Linked DNA regions of Ovis aries. The protein of the gene in region 2 interacts with the protein of the main gene of each other region in a biochemical or structural test. Links are inferred from orthologs where the notes say so. Each region holds a gene or a part of one and is shown on either strand. Other genes may lie near its edges.

Region 1 (3,796 bases), on a different chromosome or scaffold from region 2:
GACTGCAACCCGCCAGGCTCCTCTGTCCATGGGGTTCTCCAGGCAAGAATACTGGAGTGGGTAACCATTTCCTTCTCCAGGGGGGTCTTCCCAACCCAGGAATGGAACCCAAGTCTCCCAATTGCAGGCAACTCTTTACCAGCTGAGCCACCAGGGAAGCCCAAGAATACTGCAGTGGGTAGCCTATCCCTCCTCCAGCCTTGCAGAGGAGGGCCATAAAAGCAGGTCTGGGGCCTCCGGAGGCCTCGGGGCAGGGCCCCCAGCAGCCCTGAACCAGCCCCCAGCCCCAGACAGGTCAAGCCCAGCTCCTGCCCGCACCTCAACGACTTCTTAGACCTTCTTCTTTTTCAACTTCAGGGCTTGCAGCCAGTTGGGCGATGATCCTTCGGACCTAGAAGGCAGGGGGCAGAAGTCAGACCAGCACCCTGGCACCAAGCGAAGAGTGCCGACCTGTGGCACGACACCCCCCCCCCCCCAAGTCTCCCTGTAAAGCAGGGTTTTCCTCTTAAGACTGAGATGGGTAGTTCCCGGCACGCAGATCACCTACCCTGAGGACTTGTCTGGCTTGGGTGGGAGCGCGTGGGGCTTGCCCAGCCCGGGGCCCTTGCAGGACTTGGAGCGCTGCATCAGCTCCTTCTGGCCCGCCTTGCCCTCTGAGGGCTCCCCCTCGTCAGCCGAGCGGTTCCGCGAGCGCAGCTTGGCCTGAGAGGAAGCCGGGAGCGGATGGACGTCAGCGGGGCCGGTGACGGCAGAGAGGGCCAGGCCTTCTCCCCAGAGCGCAGGGTCCCCGGCCCAGACCCCAACGCCCTCCACAGCCCTCTTACCCTGGGGAGGGGAAGTCGCTTAGCGATGACCTCCCCCGAGGGCGGGCTGTGCCTGGCACCCCGCAGGCCCTCGGGGAGACACTGCTGACCTGAATCCAGCCCAAGCGGCCTGGACGGAGCCAGCGGGGACGCCCCCGGGGTCTGCACGCCCTGTGCCCTCTGCCTGCAACATCTCCCCACCACACACACTACGGTCACCGGAGGTCTCCCCGAGTCCCGCACCCCGCTTCCCACCTCCCTCTGAGCAGCCTGCCCCAGCCCCGCACCCCCAGGACGCCTAAACCTCCACCCCGCTGTACCGCGGTCGCCCTGCCAGCCCGTGGGGTTCTGGGACCCAGACCCTTCGTGTTCTTCTCTCCATCCCGCCTCGCGCCCACCACGGGCACAGCAGGCGCAGAGAACGGACAGGGTTTCGGAGCTTAGACGAACAGACAGACAGACAGAGGGCAGGCTGGACACCAGAGGGCGGCACAGCCAGAGGGTACCTTCAGGGCCGATGGGCTCAGGCCAGGAAACAGGCTGACTTTCAGGCCCTTGGTCACCCGTGTCCTGCGGTTCTGAGGCTCCTCGACCACCTCCTCGTCCGAGGACGGCGCCTGCGAAGCCCGTGGCTCTGCAAGGACCCAGGCAGGGTCTCAGTACGGGGCGGCGACCCCAGACCCCCCGCCCACGGGACAGCGACATGAAGGTCGTCAGGACAGCCTGGCCCTACCTGTGGAGTCTTGGAACAGCCTCGCGTCCGACGCTGCAGCCTCCGACAGGCCCAGCGTGCCCCCGGGCCGGATGGCCGGGGCACGGTGCCCACGCTTGCGCCCCAGGTTGGCACGGCTCCGGTACATGGCGCTGTCGAGGATCTCGGTGTCCTGCAGGGGTTGGGGGTACACACCACTGCCATCACCTTCGCGCAGCCGCCCTGTCCCAGCTTCCCACCCCCCAGGCTGAGACCACCCCACCAAGAGGGAGGTCCCGAGGTGAGACCCAAGCTGCAGCACCTATACACCCCTTCCACCTGCATCCTGACAACAGCCCACCCACTGACCTCGATGAAGGAGAAATCCTGGCTGGGGGTACTGGCCGGCAGGCCCTGGGGGGTCTGCTCGCCCTGCCTGGCCCCTGCGGCATCCTGGGTGCTGTCGACCGCGTCTGTCCAGCTGGCCTCCCCATCCGGCTGCAGCCTCCAGGAAGGCAGGGGGTCCCGGCCGGGCTCCCAGGGCTCCACTCGGTCCGCACCTGCTGCGGCCCCTTCCTCCTCCGACAGGGTCCTGGGCCCCGGGGATGCCAACTCCTGCAGGGCCAGGGCCTCGGGGCTGTGGGCAGCCAGCCTCTCCCCTGGCTGGCCTTGGGAGCCCCTGGGTGGGGAGCGGGCCAGGTAATCACCAGGGCTGCGGGGACAGAGCAGAGGCCGAGGTCATGCGAGGCTGCGGGCTCGCCCAAAGCCCCCCGCGCAGAGAGCCTTTCTCAGCCTGTTTCCCTGCAGGCCATCCATGCCTCCCTCCGGACTGTACACAGGGAGCAAGCTGGGCCAGCCCGGCGTGTTCAAACGCCAGGCTCCCCGCTTCCTGAGACGATGGGGGAGTCCCTTCACCCCCAAGGGGTCTGCTAACTACAGGGTCACCGGGGGCACAGAGTGAGGCTCTGAACACCTCGCACAGAGCTGCGCACAGGGGACCCCAAGAGCCTTAGAGTCTTCTAAGGAGAGTCTCTGCAAGCGTGGATTGAGACTAACACCTCGCACAGAGCCGCGCGGGGGGGCATGCCCACCAAAGGGATCCGACCGCTGCCAACGCTGTGGACGCTGGCCCTCCCGGGCTGCGGACCGCCTGCCGAGCCCCACCCCCGCCCTCCAGCTCACCGTCCCTGCACGCCTCTACACACACGGCCCTCGCGGACCGCCGCGTACCCGATGGCGCTTGACAAGCTGCTTCTGCCCGGCAGGTGCCCCCGCGCCCTCAGTCAGCCTGGATCCCCCCTGGGGAGCCCCCGGGCCCGCCCCTCGCCCAGCACACCCTGGGCACGAGCTGCCAGCCCCGCCTCAAGTCCAGGTGCTCTATCCCCACGGCCCGTCGGCCAGCAACTCGAGGACGCAGCCGCCTGCGTCCCCGCGTGGCCCAGGGCCTGGGACAGAGCTGAGGTCTGCCTGGAGGCAGGGACGCCACCTTTGGGCCCAAGCTGCGTCTCCTGCCCGCTGCACCCTCGAGACACGACCCATACCATCCGGCATGCACAGCGCGCTCTGCGGCTCACGCTCTGCACCCGGGAGCCTGTGTGTGGCCCAGCTGCCTGCTTGCCCCCAAGACAGACACACATGCACACACTCACGGCCCGTCTCCTGTGGGGAAGTGGGCACAGATCACCGGTCACTCCTTCCACACACTGACACAAGCGCCACAGAGCCACACCCAACACAGAGACACGCACACACACTGTACACACACATGCACAGCACCGCAGAGCCACACCCGAGACACACACACACACACACGGGACACACACATGCACAAGCACCGCAGAGCCACACCCAAGACACACACACACACACGCACAGCACCACAGAGCCACACCCGAGACACACACACACACACACACGCACAGCACCACAGAGCCACACCCGAGACACACACACAGACACACACTGTACACACACACACAAGCACCGCAGAGCCACACCCGAGACACACACACACACACACACGCACAGCACCACAGAGCCACACCCGAGACACACACACACACACTGCACACACACACACAGAAGCACCGCAGAGGCACACCCGAGACACACACAGACACACACATGCACAGCACCGCAGAGCCACACCCGAGACACACACTGTACACACACACACACCGCAGAGCCACACCCAAGACACACACACACACAGGACACACACATGCACAGCACCGCAGAGCCACACCCGAGACACACACACAGACACACACTGTACACACACATGCACAAGCACCGCAGAGCC
Region 2 (4,433 bases):
TAAGCACTATTTTGTGTGCAACTAATTCTAAATATTACAAAAATTAATGTAATATCTGCAAGTGATTACTTACAATGCAGTATGATGAAAAATGACAAGATTTGTGAAACAACATGTTATAATAGTCAAATTTGGAACAAAGTTTACAAAGGCAGTCTTGCTTTATTTATTACAGATCTTTCATCCTGCCTAAAAAAAAGAAATTATTTCATCTAAAGTAAGCAACACTTGTGAGCATCTGTCTACTTAAATGGGAGCCTGATTTTGATTCAATTCACTACATTCCTAATAGTTGTTGTTCAGCTGCTAAGCCATGTCTGACTCTTTGCGACCCTATAGACTGCAGCATGTCAGGCTTCCTTGTCCTTCACTATTTCCTGGAGTCTGCTCAAACTCAAGTCTATTGTGTCGATGATGCCATCCAACCCTCTCACCCTCTGTCGCCCCATTCTCCTCCTGCCCTCAATCTTTCCTAACAGTAGCGTCCACATTCCCAGCGATCTAATAATGATTTCCTGTATTTCTCACATTGCTGACCATGACTCATTAATGGGATCACAAACAGCATTTGCAAGACAGGAAATGGATTAGGATATAAAATATCAGAGTACAACACATGTAGCAAGGCAAAGAACTGTTTACTGAAACTTTTGATTCACTCTGCATGTTACAACATAAAATTTATTGCTAAGTATGGGCTGCAAAAAAAAAAAATGTGTGAACACTACTCTTGGAGTATATATGCCCCCAATTACTTCTTCTCCCCAAACACTGCCAAAGTGAAAACTCCATAAAAATTACCCACAAATTGAAAAGTGATCTTAAACCAAGTATAATTGTTTAACCTGGACTTCACACATTCCAAAATCAAACTAAGTTTAAATTCAGGTTCCACTACTTCTTATGTGAATTTAGGATTATCTAAGCTGTACACGCTTCACTTTTGTCATCTGTAAATGAGGATAAAAATATTTTCCGAGTTCTGATAAACAATACATTAAGTTCTCAACATATGCTTTACATTAACAGAACAAACTCAAAGAGTGGTATATATTAGAAATAAAGCATGAAACTTAACAGAAGTTATCTTCAGAGTATGATCTTTGATGTTTATGTGTGACGCTTTTTCATTTATTTCTGTACTATATGAATGTACATACAATATATACATTTCTAATGTAACATTTCTAAGGTATATAACCTTATCATCTTTATTTTTTTAATGTCAATAGGAGGTATCTAGGCAATGAGATTATGATCCTTTTTTAAATTTCCCTGTAGTTTAGATAAAAACATACTATCTGTTTTTAAAAGATAATAATTACTTGCTTTAAAAAAAAAAAAGTGTGCAGTGGTCCAGGTTTTAAGAATAAGTATTTTCGCGGGAGAACTTAGGTCCCAGATACCTCTCAGGAAATCCTCACACAATCCCCATATACATTTTTGCCCATGAGGAGATGGAGGCTACTGAGACAAGGTAAATTATCTGTTACACAAGCAACAGACAGCAGTTGCCAGAACTTCAAAGCCTTTTCTTCTGCCATCACATAATGCATCCAAATATTCTTCTCCAGTTGTTTCACATAGGAACATTTTGATCTGCCCAATCGGACTGTACACTACCTCAAAAGGGGAGAAAGTTTCACTAACTTCATTTAAGTCTCTTATATTAATTATAAGGTTACGATAGCTACTTAACACTTGTTGAGTTTTATTAAACTTCTCTTGGTCTAGTTTGTCATGCGACATTACTCCTGTAAAAAGGAAATGAGCCAACACACGACAAAACTACTCTAACACTACTCAGATCTAATTTTATTCCGACACACTCGGAACTGAAAAAGTTTAAGTATATCCATGTCCTGAGACGACCACTAAGGGAGGCAGGGGATGAGAACGAGGATCACTGTGCAAACTAAAAAGGGACTCACACGTTCCCCTACCACGCCCCCGTCACCCTGGCACCACCTAAAAAAAGGAACCTCAAGGCTTCCCGAGAAGTACTGAGGCATCATCACCACGCCCCCATCGTTCCCATCATCATAATTCGTTTTCTTTCCCTACCCGGACCCCAGTGCCAAACACCAAAACCCTTAATAAACAATTCAAAAAGTCTCTGACCTGCAGCGAAGTGCAGGGGAGAAGACTTCCGGCCGGCCATGTCCTTAGCATTCACGTTTGCCGCGTCCACCAGTCTCTTTACCCGGGACACGTCCCCATTGCGACAGGCCTCCAGCAGTTCCCGCAGGGCCCCGCTCACTGCTGGGACCCCTGGCCCAGGGCCCGCAGCCCCAGGCCCCAATGGTGCTGTGGTGCTAACTCCGGCCGCCTCGGGGCTCTCCGCCAAGCTCGATCCGGGGGAGGATGGAGAGGAAGAGGAGGAAGAAGTCGGGGAAGAAGAGGACGACGGTGAATTGTTACTGCCGCCGCCGGCTGGGTTGGGAGCGACCCCGACGGCAGATGAGGCAGAAACCGCCGGGACCACAGGAGCGGCGGCAACCGTACAGATTGTGCTCGTGGGACTGCAACAGCTGGCACTGTCAACCGGGTCCGGGGATCGGGGCCTGTCGGGCGGATCCCGACTGCCATCCCCCTCCGGCAGCGCTAGGCCGTGCCTCGGGGAGGCGAACGGAGCCAGGCCGCCCACCGTAGGGGAGGCCGGGGTGGTCCCAGGGGCCAGGCCCGGGCTGAGTGGGGGGGGAGGTGGCGGCGGCGGCGCCGAAGCCCCTGGGGCGGGCTGGAGCTGTTGTTGATGATGGTGGTGATGATGCTGAGAGCGACGCGACGCCGCCATCTTCGGACTCCCCCAGCTCTGTCACTGCGGCAACGGCCCCACCGCCCGCCCTCACTTCCGACTGCCGGGCCAATTAGCGCCCAGCGCACAGGAAATGATGCTGGGAGGAGTGGGCGGGGTCAAAGGGTGGGAGGGAAGTCTTGGGAGCTCCGAGCCCCTCCGCGGAAGGGGGCGTGGCCTCGCCTCCGAGGGGCGGGCTTTGTGACGCCTTCGCGGGCTGACGGGAGAGATTTGAAAACGAACTAGCCTAGACTTAAGTGAGAAACTTTTCCTGCATTTCTCATTTTGAACCTGCTTACCTTGCCCTGTTCCGTTCTGTTGCCAAGTCTCCTTCAGTCTTCCTTGTCTTGCTGCAGAACCTGCTATTGAGATGGAACTCTGTGCAAGGTATGTGTCGTTTATCAAATGTCAAGTGCCCCTGTCTGAAAACTGAGCTAGTATCTATCGAACAGAATTGTTAGTGGAATTAAATGAGCTAGCATATACAAAGTGTTCTGTCTGCTTCCCTTGTGGCTCAGATGGTAAAGATCTGCCTGCAGTGCAGGAGACAGGTTCGATTCCTGGGTCAGAAAGATCCCCTAGAGAAGGGAATGGCAACCCACTCCAGTATTCTTGCCGGGAGAATCTCATGGACAGAGGAGGCCTGGTGGGCTACAGTCCATGGGGTCGCAAAGAGTCGGACACGACTGAGCGACTAACATACAACACATATAATTAGCCCACTGGTTAAAAAAAAAGTTTTTTAATGCGGCCTTCTCCCCCTCCCAGTTAATCCCTTGGTCTCTATATCACCTCTCTATGAGAGTTCTCACTTTATGTGCTTCGTTAAGTACTTCATTTTAAAATAGAAGTTCGGATTGCAAGGATTGAAATTCAGGCTCTGCCAAGAACGAGCTGTGTAGATTTGGGCAAGCTATTTAACCCCTCTGTGTCTTAGGTTCCCCTCTGCAAAATAGAATTAATAGTTCAATAAATGTTAACTACTAAAATTATGTGGTTTTTTTCTATTCTGTTATCTCTGTGCTTTCATTTCTCACCTTAAACTTGACTGAAATAATTACAAACATGTTCCTTTCTTTTAAATTCTTTTTAGCTGACCTTCTCTATTCCTCTCATCCTTCTTCCCTCTCGTTCCCCAACTAAGATAAAAAACCAGCTTGCTGCACCCATCACTCACCTTCAGAAGCCATTCTTCAGCAAATTCTTTCTCTTTCCTCTGCCTATACCTTCCTTTTTTTATTGTCTACCTTCAAAAGAAATGTATCAATGATTTGGATCATCACATTAAGGTCTCCATTTCCTGCTTCTTCTTTAAAAGTAGAAACATTACTTTGCCAACAAAGGTCTGTCTAGTCAAGGCTATGGTTTTTCCAGTGGTCATGTATGGATGCAAGAGTTGGACTGTGAAGAAAACTGAGCGCTGATGAATTGATGCATTTAAACTGTGGTGTTGGAGAAGACTCTTGAGAGTCCCTTGGACTGCAAGGAGATCCAACCGGTCCATTCTAAAGGAGATCAGTCCTGGGTGTTCTTTGGAAGGAATGATGCTAAAGCTGAAACTCCAGTACTTTGGCCACCTCATGCGAAGAGTTGACTCATTGGAAAAGACTCTGATGCTGGGAGGAATTGGGGGCAGGAG
Region 3 (3,796 bases), on a different chromosome or scaffold from region 2:
CACGCCCGGGAAAGTGACCGCAAAGGCCCCGGGGCCAGGGTCCAGCGTGGAGGGACGGCCTGCCCCACGAAGGGCCGCACCAGCCCTGACAGCCACACAGGGCGCCGCGAGGAGGGCCGCGGGGCTGGGCTCTCAGCACCGAGAGCGAGGCGCCAGGGCTCCCCCGCGTGGCTGGGAACACCAGGCCCCTTCGCAGACGCGGTGGGCCGCACCGGCACCCTGAGCGCAGCCGCAGGCCAGCCAAGGCGCAGAAGGGCTCCCGCCCCGGACGGATGCTGCGAGGACCACGCACCTCTGCTTCGAGGGCGCCTTGCTGGCCCTCTTCTCCTCCTCCTCCAGGCGCCGGCGTGCCTCCTCCAGCTGCGTCAGGGGGTTGGGGGCGGGGTTGGGCGGCATCGTGGGGTCTTGAATGAAGAGATGCGATGGCTGCACCGAACTCCGGAGCTGGGCGCTGACCCAGGGGTGCACGGCCCCGGGGCGCTCAATGGACAGGGGCCTGGAGCTCTCGTGGGCCTGCTGCTTCTTAGCCCCGGACGACCTTCGGGGGCAAGAGAAGCAGGTGAGCCGCGCCCAGGCCCTGCACAACCCCTACCCCTGATGCACAGCCTTTCTGGAGACCTGCTCTGCACCGTGCTCATCGCTTTCTGAAATGTAAACCATACCCTATGTGGACATTTTCTTAATGTTTCCCCACGAAGTGTTCTTTTACATAAAGATTTTTTGTTTTTGAAAAGTATTTTGATATTAGAATAAGTGTTCTTGGGACCTCCTGGAGGTCGGATGGCTAAGACTCCCAGCCCCCAATGCAGGGGCCTGGGTTTGATCCCTCGTCAGAGAACTTGCTCTCACATGCCCCAACCAAGACCCAGGGCAGCCAAACAAACAAAAGCTTAACTTTCATCATTCCTTTAAAAATACAAATAAATAAGTTTTCTTTTTGTGAAAAACTTGAAACGTTCATGAAATTCTAAGAAAAAAATAAACATGATTCAGCGACAGCCACTCAGTGCGTTCCGCGCGCTTCCTTCCCCACTGAGAGCACCTGCCACGGTTGGCAGAATTCTGATCACGCGCTGTTTCCTGCCTTTCCTCCACATGATGCCACCGTCCCCGCCATCAGACACCAAGAGCCTTTACGTCTGCGTGACCTGCCATCACTCAACCACTGCATGGAATTCGAGTGGAAACACTGCCTCTCTCAGCTGGACTAGAGGCTTCAGAAGGGGGGCGTGTCCCCAGGAGCAAAATGAGGGAATCCCAGGAATGGCACCCCGGGGGAGAGGGCTGACTCAGCGCCAGTGTGATGTGACCTGCCCCATGGGGAGGTGGACTCCTCCTAGGACCCATGAGGCCCCCACCTCCTCACTCCCTGCTCTGTGCCCTGCCCCCAGGTCCATAGACCCCAGAAAGGCCTGCACGATGGAGCCCACAGCGCACCCAGGACACTGCTTCCGGGCTCATCTTCCCACAGAAACCCTCCAGCTGCGGGGGGGCCAACGGCCAAGCAGCGAGCCACCGGGACAGGGTTTGTGAGTGTGGAGGGTCTGGACCCAAGAGCGCAGGACCAGGGAGCCCACGCCTGGCCCCGAAGCCCAGGCTCCTGCCCGTCCCGCCCCACCACGGACAGGACGGGGACACTGAAGCTGACACGGAGCGGGGGCCCGGGGCAGAGGCATGTTCTCTGGCAGCTGGGGTCAAGGAGGCCAGCTCAGAGGCTCCTCCTGGAGCGGCAGCCACAGGGCTGTAGGATCCTGCCCAGTGGGGCTGCAGCAGCTGACCCCACCAGTGGGCATTCCTGCCCGGGACACTGACGTTGTCACCAATGCCCACCCCGTCACAGGGCCCACACACGAAGGGTTGACCTCACGCTGCCATGGGCTGGCCCTGGTCCCACGGGCACATGGCCTGCACAAATTGCTGCCTGGCGCTGATAGCAGGCTCTAGAGCTGGCAGGGACTCAGAGCCGGGGGGAGGGGGACTCAGAGCCGGGGGGAGGGGGACTCAGAGCCGGGGGGAGGGGGACTCAGAGCCAGGGGGAGGGGGATTCAGAGCCAGGGGGAGGGGGACTCAGAGCCGGGGGGGGGGGGATTCAGAGCCAGGGTGGGAGGACTCAGAGCTAGAGGTGGGGAACAGAGTTGGGGGGACAGGGACTCAAGAGCCGGTGGGGAGGAGAACTCGGGGGTGGGGGGGACTCAGAGCTCGGGGGGAGGACTCAGAGCTGGGGTGGGGGGACTCAGAGCTGGGGGGTGAGGGACTCAGAGCCGGGGGCGAAAGGAATCAGAGCCAGGGGTGGGGGGACTCAGAACTGGGGGGCTGGGGGACTCAGAGCCGGGGTGAGGGGAGGACTCAGAGCCGGGGTGAGGGGAGGACTCAGAGCCAGGGGGTAGGACTCAGAGCTGAGGGTGGGAGGATTCAGAGCCAGGGGGAAGGGGGCTCAGAGCCATGGGGGAGGGGAGGACTCAGAGCTGGGGGTGGGGGACTCAGAGCCCAGGACGGGGAGGACTCAGAGCCAGGGCGAGGGGAGGACTCAGAGCCAGGGGGGAGGGGAGGACTCGGAGCTGGGACTGGGGGACTCGGAGCCAGGGGTGGGGGACTCGGCCAGGGGAGGACTCGGCTGGGGGTGGGGGACTCGGCCGGGGGAGGCCTCGGCTGGGGGTGGGGGACTCGGCCGGGGGAGGACTCGGAGCCGGGGGTGGGGGACTCAGAGCCACGGGGGAGGGGAGGACTCAGAGCTGGGACTGGGGGACTCGGAGCCGGGGGTGGGGGACTCAGCCGGGGGAGGGCTTGGAGCTGGGACTGGGGGACTCGGAGCCAGGGGTGGGGGACTCGGCCGGGGGGGGGAGGGGAGGACTCAGAGCTGGGACTGGGGGACTCGGCCGGGGTGGGGGAGGCTCGGCCAGGGAAGGGCTCGGAGCTGGGATTGGGGGACTCGGAGCCGGGGTGGGGGAGGCTCGGCCAGGGAAGGGCTCGGAGCTGGGACTGGGGGACTCGGCCGGGGTGGGGGACTCGGCCGGGGGAGGGCTCGGCTGGGGTGGGGGACTCGGCCGGGGGAGGGCTTGGAGCTGGGATTGGGGGGCTCAGCTGGGGTGGAGGACTCAGAACTGGGACTGGGGGACTCGGCCGGGGGAGGGGGACTCGGAGCCGGGACTGGGGGACTCGGCCGGGGGAGGGGGACTCGGAGCCGGGACTGGGGGACTCGGCCGGGGGAGGGGGACTCGGAGCCGGGACTGGGGGACTCGGCGCTGGGGTGGGGGAGGCCCGGCCGGGGCCCTCACCCGTGGCCCGCCTTCCGGTGCCGGCTGATCTCCTTCTCGCCCTCGATGATCCACTGCAGGATCTTCTGGTTCTTCTCCGCGTCCTCAGCCGGGCCTGGCGCCTCTGTGCTGCTGCTCTTGCCCAGCTCCGCCTTCTTGGAGTTTCTCTTGGAGGTCGTGCCCGCCTTCCCGCTGCAAGAGCAAGGCCTGGTCACTTGCTACTTCAGCCGGCCCAGGCTGGACAGCTGGCCAGGACCCTCGGGGCTGGGGAGAACAGCCTGCAAGGGCCCTGCCTGCGCATGGGGCCTTGGCCACACTCTTGCAGGCACGGCTGGGCCGTTTCAGGCCTACTCTGTGGACAGAAGGCGTCCAGGCAGCTCGGGCCCAGCCACCCGTCCTCACCCAGACACCAGCCCCGAAACGGGCCCATCCAACCCGACGGTGCTTCAGGGCTGGAGCCCCGCGGCCGTGCACCCAGGCGCGCACTCCTGCCAACCCGCGCTGGCCCTGGCTTAGGGACTCCTCAGGGAAACTCTGGCCTG

What was found. The genes of interacting proteins can lie anywhere in the genome.
Region 1: the proteins of TNKS (region 2) and TNKS1BP1 form a complex in vitro, tested with the Homo sapiens proteins (2 studies listed by BioGRID). The link is inferred for Ovis aries from reciprocal best matches to the Homo sapiens genes TNKS and TNKS1BP1.
Region 3: the proteins of TNKS (region 2) and AXIN1 form a complex in vitro, tested with the Homo sapiens proteins (2 studies listed by BioGRID). The link is inferred for Ovis aries from reciprocal best matches to the Homo sapiens genes TNKS and AXIN1.

Annotation. Positions count from the first base shown.
Region 1 is NC_056068.1:79,333,146-79,336,941, forward strand, and holds part of TNKS1BP1 (182 kDa tankyrase-1-binding protein), read right to left. Parts: intron 2,207-3,796; coding exon 1,864-2,206; intron 1,688-1,863; coding exon 1,537-1,687; intron 1,438-1,536; coding exon 1,310-1,437; intron 703-1,309; coding exon 548-702; intron 392-547; coding exon 331-391; 3' UTR 319-330; intron 1-318.
Region 2 is NC_056079.1:24,652,464-24,656,896, reverse strand, and holds the start of TNKS (poly [ADP-ribose] polymerase tankyrase-1), read right to left. Parts: upstream 2,823-4,433; 5' UTR 2,795-2,822; coding exon 2,122-2,794; intron 1-2,121.
Region 3 is NC_056077.1:848,237-852,032, forward strand, and holds part of AXIN1 (axin-1), read right to left. Parts: intron 3,447-3,796; coding exon 3,276-3,446; intron 539-3,275; coding exon 293-538; intron 1-292. UniProt on the Homo sapiens protein: Component of the beta-catenin destruction complex required for regulating CTNNB1 levels through phosphorylation and ubiquitination, and modulating Wnt-signaling.